2 linked regions of the Saccharomyces cerevisiae S288C genome follow. The protein of the gene in region 1 binds, or shares a complex with, the protein of each later gene. Each region holds a gene or a part of one and is shown in the gene's direction. Other genes may lie near its edges. The genes, in order: CDC11 and BNI5.

Region 1 (3,877 bases):
GTCAGCCCATAGAGAAAAAAAATAAAAAAAGGCCGCTACCGATATGTTTTCATTACGACAATTAAGCAGCACAAGTGTCTGGCGCAATGCCTGACTACTGGGAAAAGTCGAAGCATTTGCACGGCGTCCATTACGATGGTTAAGGCAGTTTACGACGAATTGCGGAGTCAAGTTTTAATATTTATAGATAGCCCTGTCACCAGTATCGGGTGTTGTTTCTACCCAAGCGCCTGCCAGCCTCAAACAATACAACAGGTATTGTTTTTGGACAGCGGAATGCTGCGATGCAACAGTATCGCAGCATGGTACTGCTTTCCTCTAGTCTTTTGTCGAATGTGAGCAAGCAGCAGCTGAGACTCTGCCCAACCATCGTTAGCCAATCAGCGTCGAGAACGGGTCCCATGCCCGGCCGCGGCCCGTTTCGAGAAGATTTTTAAGTGCGATCCATCCTCCCGATCTTTTTATCTACAAGAACCATCGCAAAGAACAGAGTGATCTGCAAGAAGAAGAACTACAAAGATCAAAAAGTCTCATCTCACCATGTCTGTGTCTGCTGCTCCTGCTATTCCACAGTACTCTGTCTCTGACTACATGAAATTCGCCCTAGCCGGCGCCATAGGGTGCGGGTCGACTCACTCCAGTATGGTCCCGATCGATGTCGTTAAGACGAGAATCCAACTGGAACCTACCGTGTACAACAAGGGTATGGTCGGCTCTTTCAAGCAAATCATCGCCGGAGAAGGTGCTGGTGCGTTGTTGACCGGGTTTGGTCCTACTTTGTTGGGTTACTCTATCCAAGGTGCCTTCAAGTTCGGTGGTTACGAAGTGTTCAAGAAGTTCTTCATTGACAACTTGGGTTACGATACCGCCTCTCGCTACAAGAACTCTGTTTACATGGGTTCTGCTGCCATGGCCGAATTCTTGGCAGACATTGCCTTGTGTCCCCTAGAAGCCACTAGAATCAGATTGGTCTCCCAACCACAGTTCGCTAATGGACTCGTCGGAGGGTTTTCCAGAATTTTGAAAGAAGAAGGTATCGGCTCTTTCTACAGTGGGTTCACTCCAATTTTGTTCAAGCAAATTCCTTACAACATTGCTAAATTCTTGGTCTTTGAACGTGCCTCCGAGTTCTACTACGGGTTCGCCGGTCCAAAAGAAAAATTGTCCTCTACTTCCACTACTTTGTTGAATTTGCTTTCCGGTTTGACTGCTGGTTTGGCCGCTGCCATTGTTTCCCAGCCAGCAGACACTCTGTTGTCCAAGGTCAACAAGACTAAGAAGGCTCCTGGCCAATCCACAGTCGGTTTGTTGGCTCAGTTGGCCAAACAGTTAGGATTTTTCGGTTCCTTTGCTGGGTTGCCTACTCGTTTGGTCATGGTTGGTACCTTGACCTCCTTGCAATTTGGTATTTATGGTTCTTTAAAGAGCACTTTGGGTTGCCCACCAACCATTGAAATTGGTGGTGGTGGTCATTAGAAATGGTCTTGATTGATACATGCATATATATTCTCTCCTCATCACCACCGGAGCCCCTTTTTTTTTTCATATTCTAAGAAAGAGTCAACAAAGGAAAGAAATAAATAAATCTGTTTAAATGTACTCTATTCAATCACTAGTATTCTTATTCCATGTATTTACTGACTTTGCAAAAGTCCAAATATCTGTAAATTAACATGCTATTATAAATATATATATATATATATATTTGAATTTTCTATTTTTTCATCTACAAAAGCAGGTTATAGCTCCGTTAAACCCTTTGCTCATTGAATTGTCCTTCACGGTTTTTTGGTGGAAAACACAACATGGAACATAACATTTAAACATCGTTCTCAATCCATTTCATCGCAGTAACATATTTGGTCGGGCACATACGGACACGTATATGTTATACAGATAAATATAGCTTAAATATGGCTATATTTACACAACACAATGCTCGTGGGTCGTTACCCGACCATGCAGGATCGCCAGTATTCTTTATTTTTCCGCCTTCTAACATAAAGAAAAATAAACAAAAAAGTATTTGATCGAAAAGTAAAATAGGTAGACACCACGTATTGGCGACCCGATCTGGAGCCGTTTAGAAAGTCAATCATCACAAGGCCTAAAGTTGCTAACCACCAGCCATGTCCGGAATAATTGACGCATCTTCTGCATTAAGAAAAAGAAAGCATTTGAAAAGAGGTATAACCTTCACTGTGATGATCGTGGGCCAGTCCGGATCTGGTAGATCGACTTTTATAAATACTTTGTGCGGTCAGCAAGTTGTAGACACTTCGACGACAATCTTGTTACCCACAGATACGTCCACAGAAATAGACTTACAATTGAGAGAGGAGACGGTCGAATTAGAAGATGATGAAGGTGTCAAGATTCAACTTAATATCATCGATACTCCGGGATTCGGTGATTCTCTCGACAATTCTCCATCTTTCGAAATCATTTCCGACTACATTCGCCACCAATATGATGAAATCTTATTGGAAGAAAGTCGTGTGAGAAGAAACCCAAGATTTAAGGACGGCAGAGTTCATTGTTGTCTTTACTTAATCAACCCAACTGGCCACGGTTTAAAAGAGATTGATGTGGAATTCATCAGACAGTTGGGATCCTTAGTTAACATCATCCCTGTGATCAGCAAATCAGATTCCTTGACAAGAGATGAACTGAAACTGAATAAAAAATTGATCATGGAGGATATCGACAGATGGAACTTGCCAATTTATAATTTCCCTTTCGATGAAGATGAAATATCAGACGAAGATTACGAAACCAATATGTACCTACGTACACTTCTACCTTTTGCTATTATTGGATCCAATGAAGTTTACGAAATGGGCGGCGATGTTGGGACAATTCGTGGCAGAAAGTATCCATGGGGCATACTGGACGTGGAAGATTCATCGATCTCTGATTTTGTTATCTTAAGGAATGCGTTATTGATCTCTCATTTACATGACTTGAAAAACTACACACATGAGATATTATATGAAAGATATAGAACCGAGGCATTATCAGGTGAATCTGTCGCGGCAGAATCCATACGTCCAAATCTGACAAAATTGAATGGTTCGTCGTCATCGTCCACCACAACAAGGAGAAACACAAATCCCTTCAAGCAAAGTAATAATATTAATAACGATGTTCTCAACCCAGCATCCGATATGCACGGGCAAAGCACTGGCGAAAATAACGAAACCTACATGACACGTGAGGAGCAAATACGGTTAGAAGAAGAGCGACTAAAGGCATTTGAGGAGAGAGTTCAGCAAGAACTGCTGTTGAAAAGACAAGAACTGTTGCAAAGAGAAAAGGAATTAAGAGAAATTGAAGCCAGGTTGGAAAAAGAGGCGAAAATCAAACAGGAAGAATGAGTCCGCTTTTGGCTTCCTCACTTATTTCTTCTTTCTCTATATATATAAAGAGTGAGTGTTGTATATAAGTAAATACATCTGGTATATTATTTTTTTTTTTTCTTCATTCTTAAAAAGTATTAATATCGATCAGCAAAAAAAAATTAACAAAAAAGTTCCTTATTATATCTGCGTAGAAGTACTTATTTCTGCTCCACCTTTGGAGTATTTTTCCAAAATTGTGATGCCAAATGAGTAATGAAATAGAATTTCTTGTGTGGATCGTCATTATCGATTTGGTTTGGACAGTTAAAGGAGAATTTTGGAAAGACCAGAACATCACTTAGCAATTTTGGTTGATTTAGGTTATGGAATAATTTCCATGTAACCTTCTCCCTGACACCACTTCTCATAAAGTCATTGAAATACGTGAAAATAGTGTCAGTCCACAACCCAGAACCCGTCCAACTCATAATATTCAGATCATTCCTTAGATTGACGTTTAGTTGGTCGTCCCTCTT
Region 2 (12,241 bases), on another chromosome or scaffold:
ACTCCTTAACCCGCTTGAATATGACCCATTGCTCCGTAGCGTTTGCGGTTGGTGGAACGGACTACTAGAAGAACTGCCATTTAAATTTTGATTGTACTCTGACTCTATAGAATATTGGCCCGGTGATAATTGGGGTAATTGTGCATTCCCACTCCCATTACCGTTCTGAACCATGCTCTGGGAATTATTATTATGTCTATAAAGACCACCCATCGACGGCGGTGGGGTATTGATCATCTGATTTGAAGCTGCGTAATTATTATGTGGTGGTGGTGTGGCTGGATAATTCAGGGCTGGAACGTCTGTAAAACCGCTGCCAAGGTTACCTGTCTCACGTTGTAAATGCTCTTGTAACGATTGATGAGAGCCTTGCTCTTTCATGTAGTTGCTACTAAATCCTGCAGCAGGCGGTCTAGGAATTTGCTGATACGGATTCATTTCGTTGGCGTATTGTTGTTGTTGTTGATGCTGTTGGTCTTGTTGTTGGGACATATAATAGCCATGTCCTGAAGTAGGTGCACCCTCATGATGATTGGTGCTGCTATTATACATTGCGAAAACTGCAGAGGATTACAGAAGGATCAGCGCAGACGTGTACCTATACTGAAATTTACGCTTACGTTTCAAAAAAAGAGCGATATCTATGTGGTAATATCAGTGTTCGCCGATAATAAAGCAATATCTGAACCCTTATTCGTGTGATATAGAAATTTATATGACCTTGCTCAACTATTCAAACGAAAAATGATCTTTGAATGTTAAAAATAGTCGCTGGACTGCAGATCAAACTGGAGTGCAACTGCTTCTCTGGAAACTAATCATTTTCGTCGAATAAGAATGATGGTTACCCGACCGACACGCGTCCTAGAGCGCCCGAACCGTACTAACGCATCATTAGTTGCAGGAATTATCGTAAAGTTTTATATTGTAATAATATGTAATTATATCAGATTTTAAAGCAAAGAAAATACAAAAGCGAAACCCATAAAGAGATTCAGAATTGCAAAGCTTGACCCTTTTGCTTCTTTTCACCACCCAATTCGAAGTGCTTGCATCTCTTCAAGGTCAATTGGGCTCTGGTCTTACATTTGACACATTCCAATCTCAAAACAACCTTCTTGGTAGTCTTAGCTTTCTTGTGGAAAACAGGCTTGGTTTGACCACCGAAACCAGATTGTTTACGGTCATAACGTCTCTTACCTTGGGCAAACAAGGAAGCCTTACCAGCTTTGTATTGAGTAACCTTGTGTTGAGTGTGCTTACGACAGGTCTTACCCTTACAGTAGGTCTTTCTGGTCTTTGGAACGTTAACTAAATAGAAGAAATAGATGAGACATCGTACTAATGTTAGTAAAAAAGTTTATTATTAGAAAAAATCAGTAAGGTGGTAAGCAAAATCTAGCATATTGAAAAGAAATAACAGTTATCCAACTTATCCCCTCTACGTTTCCTTCCTCAAAGAATATCACTGCACAATCTGAAGATAGCGAGGGAAATAGAAGCCTTTTTTGAGCTTCACAAATAGGCTACTGTGCTGTTTGGAGCTTTTTCAGAGCATATTATCAGAAAAACAGAAAGGATCCTCCATGCATATGATACTCTGTTGCTGCATATCTCGGTTTCATTGCTGACTGCTGAACTTTTATTGCGCATCGTTTAGTTTTGTGTATACGCCCTTTTTAGGCGCAGATTATACAGTTGCTAGGTGTGTCTGTTTATGCATTCATGACGATTATGAAATTTCATTGACAATAAAAATCAAATTAGCTTTTCTTTATTGGTCCTGATTTTATTCACCATTAGGAATTATGGTTATAACATACCCATTTTTACTGATAATTGTTGTTTTCCTCTATTAAGGATTAGATTTCAAGATGCATTTGGACCACTTAATGGTGCTATTATCTGCCTCCTTCGCGCTCATGTACTAGCCCTTCGAAGGTAGATTGAACCGCCTTTCCCGGGCAAAAGAGAAGGTTGCGCTATTTCCTGTGACCCAATCACTCTGCGGGCCAGCTGCTGTAACCTTCCTACTGGTCCGGCCTATTGGCACTAGACAAAGCTCCCTTCCCTGGCAGGATCAGTCCTGGCGTTAGGCGGAATTCAGGTGTTAAATGTCCGCAAGAGAAAAAATAGATAAATAAAAAAAAAGTATAACTCGAAGTAAATGTCTAGGTTTTACTTTAGATGTAAGGATGTAAGATCTCTGAATGTAGGACAGCATTTGGTAGAAAACTGTTATTATATGCCGATATGACAGCTACATATTTGCTATTTGTCACTGCGGTTTGGCGTTCCAAAACGCATTAGTCTATATTGGTGATGAATAATTGACAAGTTTTAATGCCAAAGCTAGACAAGTTATTACACACTTTTTAGTTTTCCTTGTACGAACTTTTTTGGGTTTCACATAGAAAGTAGATTATTCGTAAAAACCGGATACTTGATCTTCACTCTTTGAGACCTTTAATTATGTCGCTTCTTTTATGTTAATTTCAACTATCATGTTATTGCTCTTTATATTGTTATCGCTCATATTTGACTCTGCAATGGCGTTACTAGGGATAATGAAAGATAATGAACAGCAATAGTGCAACTATTTTATGGTTTGCTTCGTGAAGATAATCTTTTTTTTGCAACTTTTAAGACGTCATTATCGTCTACATACGTTAGATTTTCGAGTACTTCTCTTTGATTGAATGGGTAGCCGCAGACTAAGCTGGGACATATTATAATGGCATAATTTTGCTGTACTAAACACTTTTGAAGTCTTTCATTGCAATTTGGACAAAATACTTGGGAGTCGGGCTTATCAGACATCTTTTAATGACGTGTTCGTTTGTATGTAGTTTTGGTATACTGGATATTCGATATATTGTAAAGTGGAATTTTCAGCTCATCGCTTCCTTTTTCTTTTTCCTACGAGAAAAGAAATTTTGAAAAATGGGAACTTAAGAGCCAAGAATATTGATAGATAGGTGCACCCGAAATACAATCTTTGTACATCATCAAGATTATCAAAATAGTTTATAAAATAACCAAACTCAGTTATTTTTCTAAGCACGATAAGCAAATATGCCTAGAGTGGAATCGGAGACTTACAAACGTCTGCAAAATGACCCTTCCTGTATAAGAAATATATGTATTGTTGCTCATGTTGATCACGGTAAAACTTCACTTTCAGATTCTCTTTTGGCTTCGAATGGTATTATATCACAAAGGCTTGCCGGCAAAATTCGATTCTTAGATGCCAGGCCTGACGAACAACTACGTGGTATCACAATGGAATCATCGGCTATCTCTTTATATTTTAGGGTATTGCGTAAACAAGAAGGTTCCGATGAGCCTCTTGTAAGCGAGCATCTAGTAAACTTAATTGATTCCCCAGGTCACATTGATTTTTCAAGTGAGGTCAGTGCAGCTTCAAGACTATGTGATGGTGCTGTCGTACTGGTTGATGTCGTAGAGGGGGTATGCTCGCAAACCGTCACAGTGTTGAGACAATGTTGGACGGAGAAGCTGAAGCCCATTTTAGTATTGAATAAGATTGATAGATTGATCACAGAACTACAACTAACTCCCCAAGAAGCTTATATTCACTTGTCCAAAGTCATTGAACAAGTCAACTCAGTTATCGGGTCCTTTTTCGCAAACGAGAGACAATTGGATGATTTATTTTGGAGGGAGCAATTAGAAAAGAACGAAAACGCGGAATATATTGAAAAGGATGATTCGGGTATTTACTTTAACCCTACTGATAACAACGTTATTTTTGCTTCCGCAATTGATGGTTGGGGTTTCAACATCGGTCAATTGGCCAAATTTTACGAACAAAAATTAGGCGCTAAAAGGGAAAACCTACAGAAAGTTTTATGGGGTGATTTCTATATGGATCCCAAGACAAAAAAAATTATTAACAATAAAGGCCTTAAGGGAAGATCCCTGAAACCCCTTTTCACATCGCTAATCCTCGAAAATATATGGAAAATTTATCAAAACATAATCACATCGAGAGATTCTGAAATGGTCGAAAAAATAGCAAAAACTTTAAATATTAAGCTACTTGCACGTGATCTAAGGTCGAAGGACGATAAACAATTGTTAAGAACTATCATGGGTCAATGGCTACCCGTCAGCACAGCAGTATTGTTAACAGTTATTGAAAAATTACCTTCACCTTTGGAATCACAAACCGATCGTTTGAACACTATTTTGGTCTCCGAATCCGACACAGCAGCCATGGATCCAAGACTTCTGAAAGCCATGAAGACATGTGATAAAGAAGGACCAGTTAGTGCATACGTATCTAAGATGCTTTCAATTCCTAGAGAAGAATTACCTGTTGAATCTAAGAGGATAGCATCTTCGGATGAGCTGATGGAGAGAAGTAGAAAGGCACGTGAGGAAGCACTTAATGCTGCAAAACATGCTGGTATGGTAGAAAATATGGCAATGATGGATTTGAATGACAATTCTAAAAATACATCAGATTTATATAAAAGAGCAAAAGATACCGTTATGACCCCCGAAGTAGGAGAACAGACAAAGCCAAAACCTTCAAGAAATAATGATGTTTTCTGTGTTGTTTCAGAGCCTTCTTCCGCCTTGGATTTAGAATTTGAATATGAGGGGGAGGATGATTCAGATAGTCAAGATAACTTCGGCCTAGATTTTGTACCAACTGACATAGATCCAAATGACCCTCTAAGTTCAATGTTTGAATATGAGGAAGAAGATCCACTTTTGGAGAGTATTAAGCAAATTTCAGAGGATGTGAACGATGAAGTAGATGATATTTTTGACGAAAAGGAAGAATGCTTGGTAGCATTTGCAAGAATATACAGTGGCACACTAAGAGTTGGTCAGGAGATTTCGGTATTGGGTCCAAAATATGATCCAAAATGTCCAGAGGAGCATATTGAAACTGCGATTATTACGCATTTATATTTGTTTATGGGTAAGGAATTGGTTCCTTTGGACGTTTGTCCATCAGGAAATATAGTCGGTATTCGTGGTCTGGCCGGTAAAGTTTTAAAGAGTGGTACGTTGATAGAGAAGGGCGTACAAGGCGTCAATCTAGCGGGCGTCAATTTCCATTTTACGCCAATCGTTCGTGTTGCTGTGGAGCCAGCCAATCCTGTGGAAATGAGCAAGTTGGTACGAGGATTAAAGTTGTTGGATCAAGCAGATCCTTGCGTGCACACATACGTTGAAAATACTGGTGAACACATTCTGTGTACGGCCGGTGAATTACATTTAGAAAGATGCCTAAAAGATTTAACAGAGAGATTTGCAGGAATAGAAATTACACATTCTGAACCGGCTATTCCATATAGGGAAACATTTTTATCAGCCTCAGATATGAATCCACCGCAGAATTCACAGCTGGGAAGGGGTGTTCATGAACTACTATTGAGCCAGTACAAGATTACATTCAGAACGTTCCCATTAAGCGGTAAAGTTACAGACTTTTTATCTCAACATCAAAATAGCATTAAAAACATTTTGAAGACGTCCACTTCAAGCATGGATCCCGTCATAGAATCAACTGGAAGTTCTTTTCTAGACAAAAAGTCTTTACTCGTTGCTTTTGAAGAGGTCATAAATCAGGAGGAGAAGAGCAGAGAACTATTAAGTGGGTTTAAAGTAAAGTTAGCAGGTTTTGGGCCAAGTAGAGTTGGGTGCAACATTTTGCTGTCGCAGGATAATCTTCTTGGAAGCCTATTTGAAGGTACTCCAGCAGCCTTTGAGTATTCAGATTCCATCAAAAATGGCTTCCAACTGGCTGTTAGCGAAGGACCTCTGGCAAATGAGCCCGTACAGGGAATGTGTGTTCTTGTTGAAAGCGTACATAAGATGTCACAAGACGAAATTGAATCTATTGAAGATCCGCGCTACCAACAACATATTGTGGACTTATCAGGGAGGTTGATAACTTCTACAAGGGACGCTATACATGAGGCCTTTTTAGACTGGTCCCCAAGAATTATGTGGGCAATTTACTCATGTGATATTCAAACCTCTGTCGATGTACTTGGAAAAGTGTATGCCGTTATTCTACAGAGGCATGGTAAAATCATTTCTGAAGAAATGAAAGAAGGTACACCGTTTTTTCAAATTGAGGCACATGTGCCCGTTGTGGAAGCATTCGGTTTAAGTGAAGATATTCGTAAACGAACATCTGGTGCAGCACAACCTCAATTGGTATTTTCCGGATTCGAGTGTATCGATTTAGATCCATTTTGGGTCCCAACCACAGAAGAAGAATTGGAGGAACTAGGTGATACAGCAGATAGAGAGAATATTGCCCGTAAGCATATGAATGCCATCAGAAGAAGGAAAGGTCTATTCATTGAAGAAAAAGTTGTCGAAAATGCCGAAAAACAACGTACTTTGAAAAAGAATTAAGGTTTTTTAGGGTTTATATGAATCATAGACTAATATAGATAGTTTTCACTAGTTGAAAATATATATAAATATATGTATGTATGTATGTATATTCACTTGAATATGAGATGAAATAGCACAGTTTTCAAGCATTTCCAGTCTTACGTATTCTATGATATACTACATACTCTCGCGCGAGTGAATGTTTTAGCGATGGGACAAGAAAGTTGAGATGATCTGGACGATGAGAATGGCAAAATAAGCGAGAGCTACAGCAAGAACTACAGATTGCACTTTTTGCATATACCCTGAATAGGAATTTCTTTGCTAAATATTTGGTAATTTGTTATCCATATTTACTGATATCGTGCTTCTTACGACGAATTTATAGCTTTAATCATATTCTCTTCTCTTCTATTTTCATGCCATATCATCAAGAAAATGACACCTACAAACCAATCTAGTGGAACGACTAATGCATCTGTGGAGGTACTTTCAGAGGATGGACCTATGCCAATAAACGTTATGATGCAAGAAGGTGTGAAAGCGCTGACTAAAATTCTTTCCAATCAGCTTCAAGACAGACAAGCTTTTCAAAACGCTCCTCATGCAATGCAATTCGTTATAAGAAATGGAGGAAAAGCTTTATCAAATGCACGGTTAGAAGAGCTCAAAGATGCTCTTCCTAAGATGGACTCGTTGAGTTTGGAAGATGAACTTGCGAAAATAGATGGCCAAAGTGCATACCACATTGATTCCGCAGAGGAAAAGGAAACCTTTGAAAGTAAAATAGGCCAAATAGCTTCTAGAAATAGTGCAGACTTCATAATAGAGGAGGACTTGCAAAATATTTTAGATGATGATCTTAAAGACTCAGAACTTAACTTGGATGGCGAAGAAGCCGAAATAATTTTCGATTATGAGAGCCAAGAACTGGATACACCGGATGGTATAGGGGAAAAGATTTCTCAAATGATAGAATCGGTGTTACCGGGAGGGTTTGGAAGTGAAGAACAGGGGGGGTTGCGAACTGTAACAAATGTAGAGGATTTAGATGTTGCAGAAGAAGTCACAGATATCGATCATGATACCGTTGACGCAGCTCGTTTGCATGGAGACGGTCAACATTCCATATCTTCTAGAAAGCACAGCAGGTCAAAGAACTCGAAAAAGAATGGGCATGTAAGGCGACATGACTTTTATGACGAATCTAGAGACCATAAAAGTTGTTGCCCGCATCATCATTATGAAAACTTATCCAAACTACGAAACTACTATTATCATGATTTTGAATATATTTCCAGAACGGAAAACCGTGTTCCAGATTTCTCTGTCCTAGTTAACGAATCAAGTCCCATGTGTTTATTTTGCGAGTACTACATGGTGTTTGGTGAACCACCACGTAACATGATAAAGTGGTATAATCGTACGTTTGGTTACAATCGTATGCCGAATCCACCAAGAGATGAACAAGATAGTAGGAAAAGGAATAGATAGTCAACATTATTACTGTAGGAATAAAGTAGTATAGGGAACATTACATAATAGAGGAAAACTTGTGAGGAAAACTTGTGACATTCTAAACGTATTTAAGAGTTATTGAAAAATTAATGGTGTACGACAATATTTCTCTTTGAATATTTATATGCTTCTTAGCGGTATTATGACTAAATAGTAACAGGAAAAAACACAAGTAAATGCAAATGGGTTTACATCAGTAATCCTGCCGGTCCATTTAGCATATATGTGGTCGAGCTGCCCCATGCGGTGTGGCGTTTCTCCTTTCTTGATTCATATTCATGTAATAGCATGCACATGCAAGTAAGTATCTGACTATCCCACGGCACATTTTCAATGATATTAGAGCCCATTTCAGTATAATTGGTAGATGTTAAACTAGAGCCATCATCAAACGAATCAGTTTCTTGTAAGTACAAGGTAGCTACTCTCAAAGTTCTTTTTTTCGGTATGACACTAACTTTATCATCTGTGTATCTGGCCCATACTGGGAGATAACCCAGCGGTCTTGTGGGACGGGAACGGCTGTAAGAATCAAACTCTTCAATAGTTTGTTGGTTCATGTAGGATGCCATCGTATCATCGAGTACAAGTAGGTTGATGCTATTTGAGCCAAAAGGTGAAGCTAAACTAGTTGTCCCGTACCAACGAAGATTTAATCCATGAATTGCCGTATCCGCATTTTTCCTTTGATTGTAATTAATCATGGGGATATGAACATCAGGTTCATCTTTTCTATGAAATATAAAATCGTGCTCTACCCTGCTCGAAAAATTATGGCTTTCCATTTTTTTTAGAATAGTGCAGAATTCATATTTATATATGGAGACATTTTCGTTTATTCGAGAGACCACTTCTGAGTTTAATGGAGGTTTATCGCATTGGGAGTCTATCATAACGTATTTATATATCCTCATTACCGGTGTATTTTGATCACTGAAAAGCGACTTGACCAGGTTTAAAGAAATGGCGTGAAATAGGGGAAGTCCTAGACCCCTCTTTGGATCAATGTTATCGAGCTTCCTCTTGTTGTGTAAAAATAGCTGGAGAGATTCTTCACTGGGGAATGCAAAAAACCCTCGTTGTAGTAGCACCGAAACGAATGGCATGGCTCTTTCTGACGTGAATCTTGGGGCTCTGTTAACATAACCCTGTCTTTGTAGGTCTCCAATTGTTGAGCCTTCTGATACCGCTGTATTCAAAGTAGCTGCATCCGCACTATCATCGCCCTCGTTGGCAGAGGTTTCCAGAGATTCATTTTCTCGTGCAAATATTGTAGATTGGTCGTCTCCATAACCATTAGCTCCCAAGAGATTGACGGTGGATGGAGACCCACTGTGAGGATACGGAGGATGTTGGCGATTATGTCGGCGTCCCCGGCGATTTCCAATCAAAGAGCGTACTCTATCCATGCGGATCTTTGGCAAATGTATGTAGCACTTCTCCTATCGTTCAATTTGATGCTCTTTCTTTTCCAAAAGCCTTACTTGTTCTTCTTCTTCACTAGTAGTGAAGGGCTTTAGAGATGCCCAGAACCCAGACCATTTTAGACGCGTTATGAAATAAATATTGCGCTGAAAATTCAAACTTCATAATAAACAAAAATCATTAATAGTTTTGTAATTTGATTTACTGTTATGGTGATGCTATGTTAGTGTGAAATAGAACAACAGAAACGATGGGCTTGGACCAGGACAAGATAAAGAAGAGGCTTTCTCAAATAGAGATAGATATCAACCAGATGAACCAGATGATTGACGAAAATTTACAATTAGTTGAACCTGCGGAGGACGAAGCTGTCGAAGATAATGTCAAGGATACGGGTGTGGTCGACGCTGTAAAGGTGGCAGAAACGGCTCTTTTTAGTGGCAATGATGGAGCGGATAGTAACCCAGGAGATTCAGCTCAGGTTGAAGAGCACAAAACCGCACAGGTCCATATTCCCACTGAGAATGAAGCGAATAAGAGTACGGATGACCCATCCCAGCTATCGGTTACTCAACCTTTTATAGCGAAAGAGCAGATAACTCACACCGCCATTGCTATTGGTGACTCCTATAATTCATTTGTCGCAAATTCCGCTGGAAATGAAAAGGCAAAGGACTCCTGCACTGAGAACAAAGAAGATGGTACAGTCAATATAGATCAAAACAGGGGTGAAGCTGATGTTGAAATTATCGAAAATAATGATGATGAATGGGAGGATGAAAAATCGGATGTTGAAGAGGGGCGAGTAGATAAGGGAACAGAGGAAAACAGTGAGATTGAATCTTTCAAATCACCCATGCCCCAGAATAACACCTTGGGCGGTGAGAACAAGTTAGACGCTGAACTTGTATTAGACAAATTTTCTTCCGCTAATAAGGATCTAGATATACAACCGCAAACCATAGTTGTAGGAGGTGACAATGAATACAACCATGAGAGCAGCCGTTTAGCTGATCAAACACCCCATGACGATAATTCAGAGAATTGTCCCAATCGCTCTGGAGGAAGCACTCCCTTAGATTCTCAAACTAAAATTTTTATCCCTAAAAAGAATTCTAAAGAAGATGGTACCAATATAAATCACTTTAATTCAGATGGTGATGGACAGAAAAAAATGGCGAATTTCGAGACACGACGCCCTACAAATCCGTTCAGAGTTATCTCGGTGAGCAGCAATTCCAATTCAAGAAACGGAAGTCGTAAATCTTCACTAAATAAGTATGATTCGCCAGTCTCCTCTCCTATCACATCAGCGTCTGAGCTGGGCAGTATTGCCAAGCTGGAAAAAAGACATGATTATTTATCCATGAAATGCATTAAGTTACAAAAGGAAATTGACTATCTAAACAAGATGAATGCACAGGGTTCTTTATCTATGGAAGACGGAAAGAGACTACATAGAGCCGTAGTGAAGCTTCAAGAATATCTTGACAAGAAAACGAAGGAGAAATATGAGGTCGGAGTGTTATTAAGTAGACATCTGAGAAAGCAAATTGATCGTGGCGAAAATGGCCAATTTTGGATTGGAACTAAATGATTACATTACGCCAAGGGTTGTTATAAATATTTATAAATTAAGACAGATATATAAAGTTAAAATAAATACCAAAAGAACATAGACAATCGTAAGAGAATAAGAATCCTTTATCCTAGAGCCATCCATCTGTTATTTTTGATGTTGCTGACTTTTTTTCTGATAAATTCTATTATTTTAATAGTAAAGAGGTGAGTATTTCGCCTAAACGTAAACAAAACGATAATAAAAAAAAAAAAAAATGAAGACAAAATGTTCAGATAGTCAATTATATTGTAATAACATGAAACGGAACAATAACAGTACCCAGAATTCAATTTCAATGGCGTTGTGTCTTCTTTTCTCTAAGAACTTTCATAAACCAAGTCGTACTTAACCGCGCTAGCGATAACCCTGCTAACTTTGTCGCAGAGGGAAAAAAGTAGAATCGAAGGGAAAAATCACGAAAATTAACTGGGCTGAATAGAATGAATTCAGTCATACGGTGATGGTTTTCGAAACAAACTGCACATTTTTCCAGTTAAAAGGACCAAGTTTGGTTACTGATACGTGAGACTAATTTGTTCTCCAGAAACACAATAATTTGGTGCTACATTGCCAACGCTCAGGAGTGGTTTTAAGCTCAGAAAAGTTACTACCAAAGGGGTTCAACGTAAAAGTGAATTGTGTTTTCTTATCGAGAAAAACTCTTTTATTATTCAAGTGAGTTTTCCACTTATTAGATTCCTATCTTTTTACCGATCTCTATTATTTGATAAGTTCCTTAATCAATTCGTGGATTTTTATTTTTATTTCATTCTTTTCATTTCAATTTCTGCATTCCAAATACACCTGCCCAGTCTCTAGACCCTGCTTAATCATTATGTCAAGCGAGGAACGCTCGAGACAACCAAGTACTGTTTCAACTTTCGATTTAGAACCCAATCCTTTTGAACAAAGCTTCGCCTCTTCCAAGAAGGCTTTGTCACTTCCAGGCACGATCTCCCATCCGTCTCTACCAAAAGAGCTTTCACGAAACAATTCTACCTCAACGATAACACAACATTCCCAACGTTCCACTCATAGTTTGAACAGTATTCCAGAAGAAAATGGGAATTCAACCGTTACAGATAATAGTAATCATAATGACGTAAAAAAAGACTCACCTAGTTTTTTACCAGGCCAACAAAGACCTACTATAATATCTCCGCCTATTCTCACACCTGGTGGGTCGAAAAGATTACCACCTCTACTCCTTTCTCCCTCTATTTTATATCAGGCAAATTCAACTACGAATCCCAGTCAGAATTCACATTCTGTTTCAGTCTCTAATTC

The links.
Region 2: CDC11 (region 1) and BNI5 share a complex: the UniProt entries of both Saccharomyces cerevisiae proteins name them as parts of the GIN4 complex.

Annotation. Positions count from the first base shown.
Region 1 is NC_001142.9:574,854-578,730, reverse strand, and holds CDC11 (septin CDC11), read left to right. Parts: upstream 1-2,129; coding exon 2,130-3,377; downstream 3,378-3,877. Other genes in the region: MIR1 (Mir1p), read left to right, coding at 541-1,476; HOC1 (alpha-1,6-mannosyltransferase), read right to left, coding at 3,560-3,877. UniProt on the Saccharomyces cerevisiae protein: Septins are GTPases involved in cytokinesis that assemble early in the cell cycle as a patch at the incipient bud site and form a ring approximate 15 minutes before bud emergence, which transforms into an hour-glass shaped collar of cortical filaments that spans both sides of the mother-bud neck.
Region 2 is NC_001146.8:320,908-333,148, reverse strand, and holds BNI5 (Bni5p), read left to right. Parts: upstream 1-9,583; coding exon 9,584-10,930; downstream 10,931-12,241. Other genes in the region: serine/threonine protein kinase CBK1, read right to left, coding at 1-552; 60S ribosomal protein eL42 RPL42A, read right to left, coding at 995-1,311, 1,824-1,827; YNL162W-A (uncharacterized protein), read right to left, coding at 2,602-2,820; GTPase RIA1, read left to right, coding at 3,076-6,408; IBD2 (Ibd2p), read left to right, coding at 6,829-7,884; YNL165W (uncharacterized protein), read right to left, coding at 8,097-9,317; SKO1 (Sko1p), read left to right, coding at 11,790-12,241. UniProt on the Saccharomyces cerevisiae protein: Required for normal septin function and cytokinesis. Its recruitment to the bud neck by CDCd11 and SHS1 ensures efficient localization at the bud neck of MYO1, the type II myosin of the actomyosin contractile ring.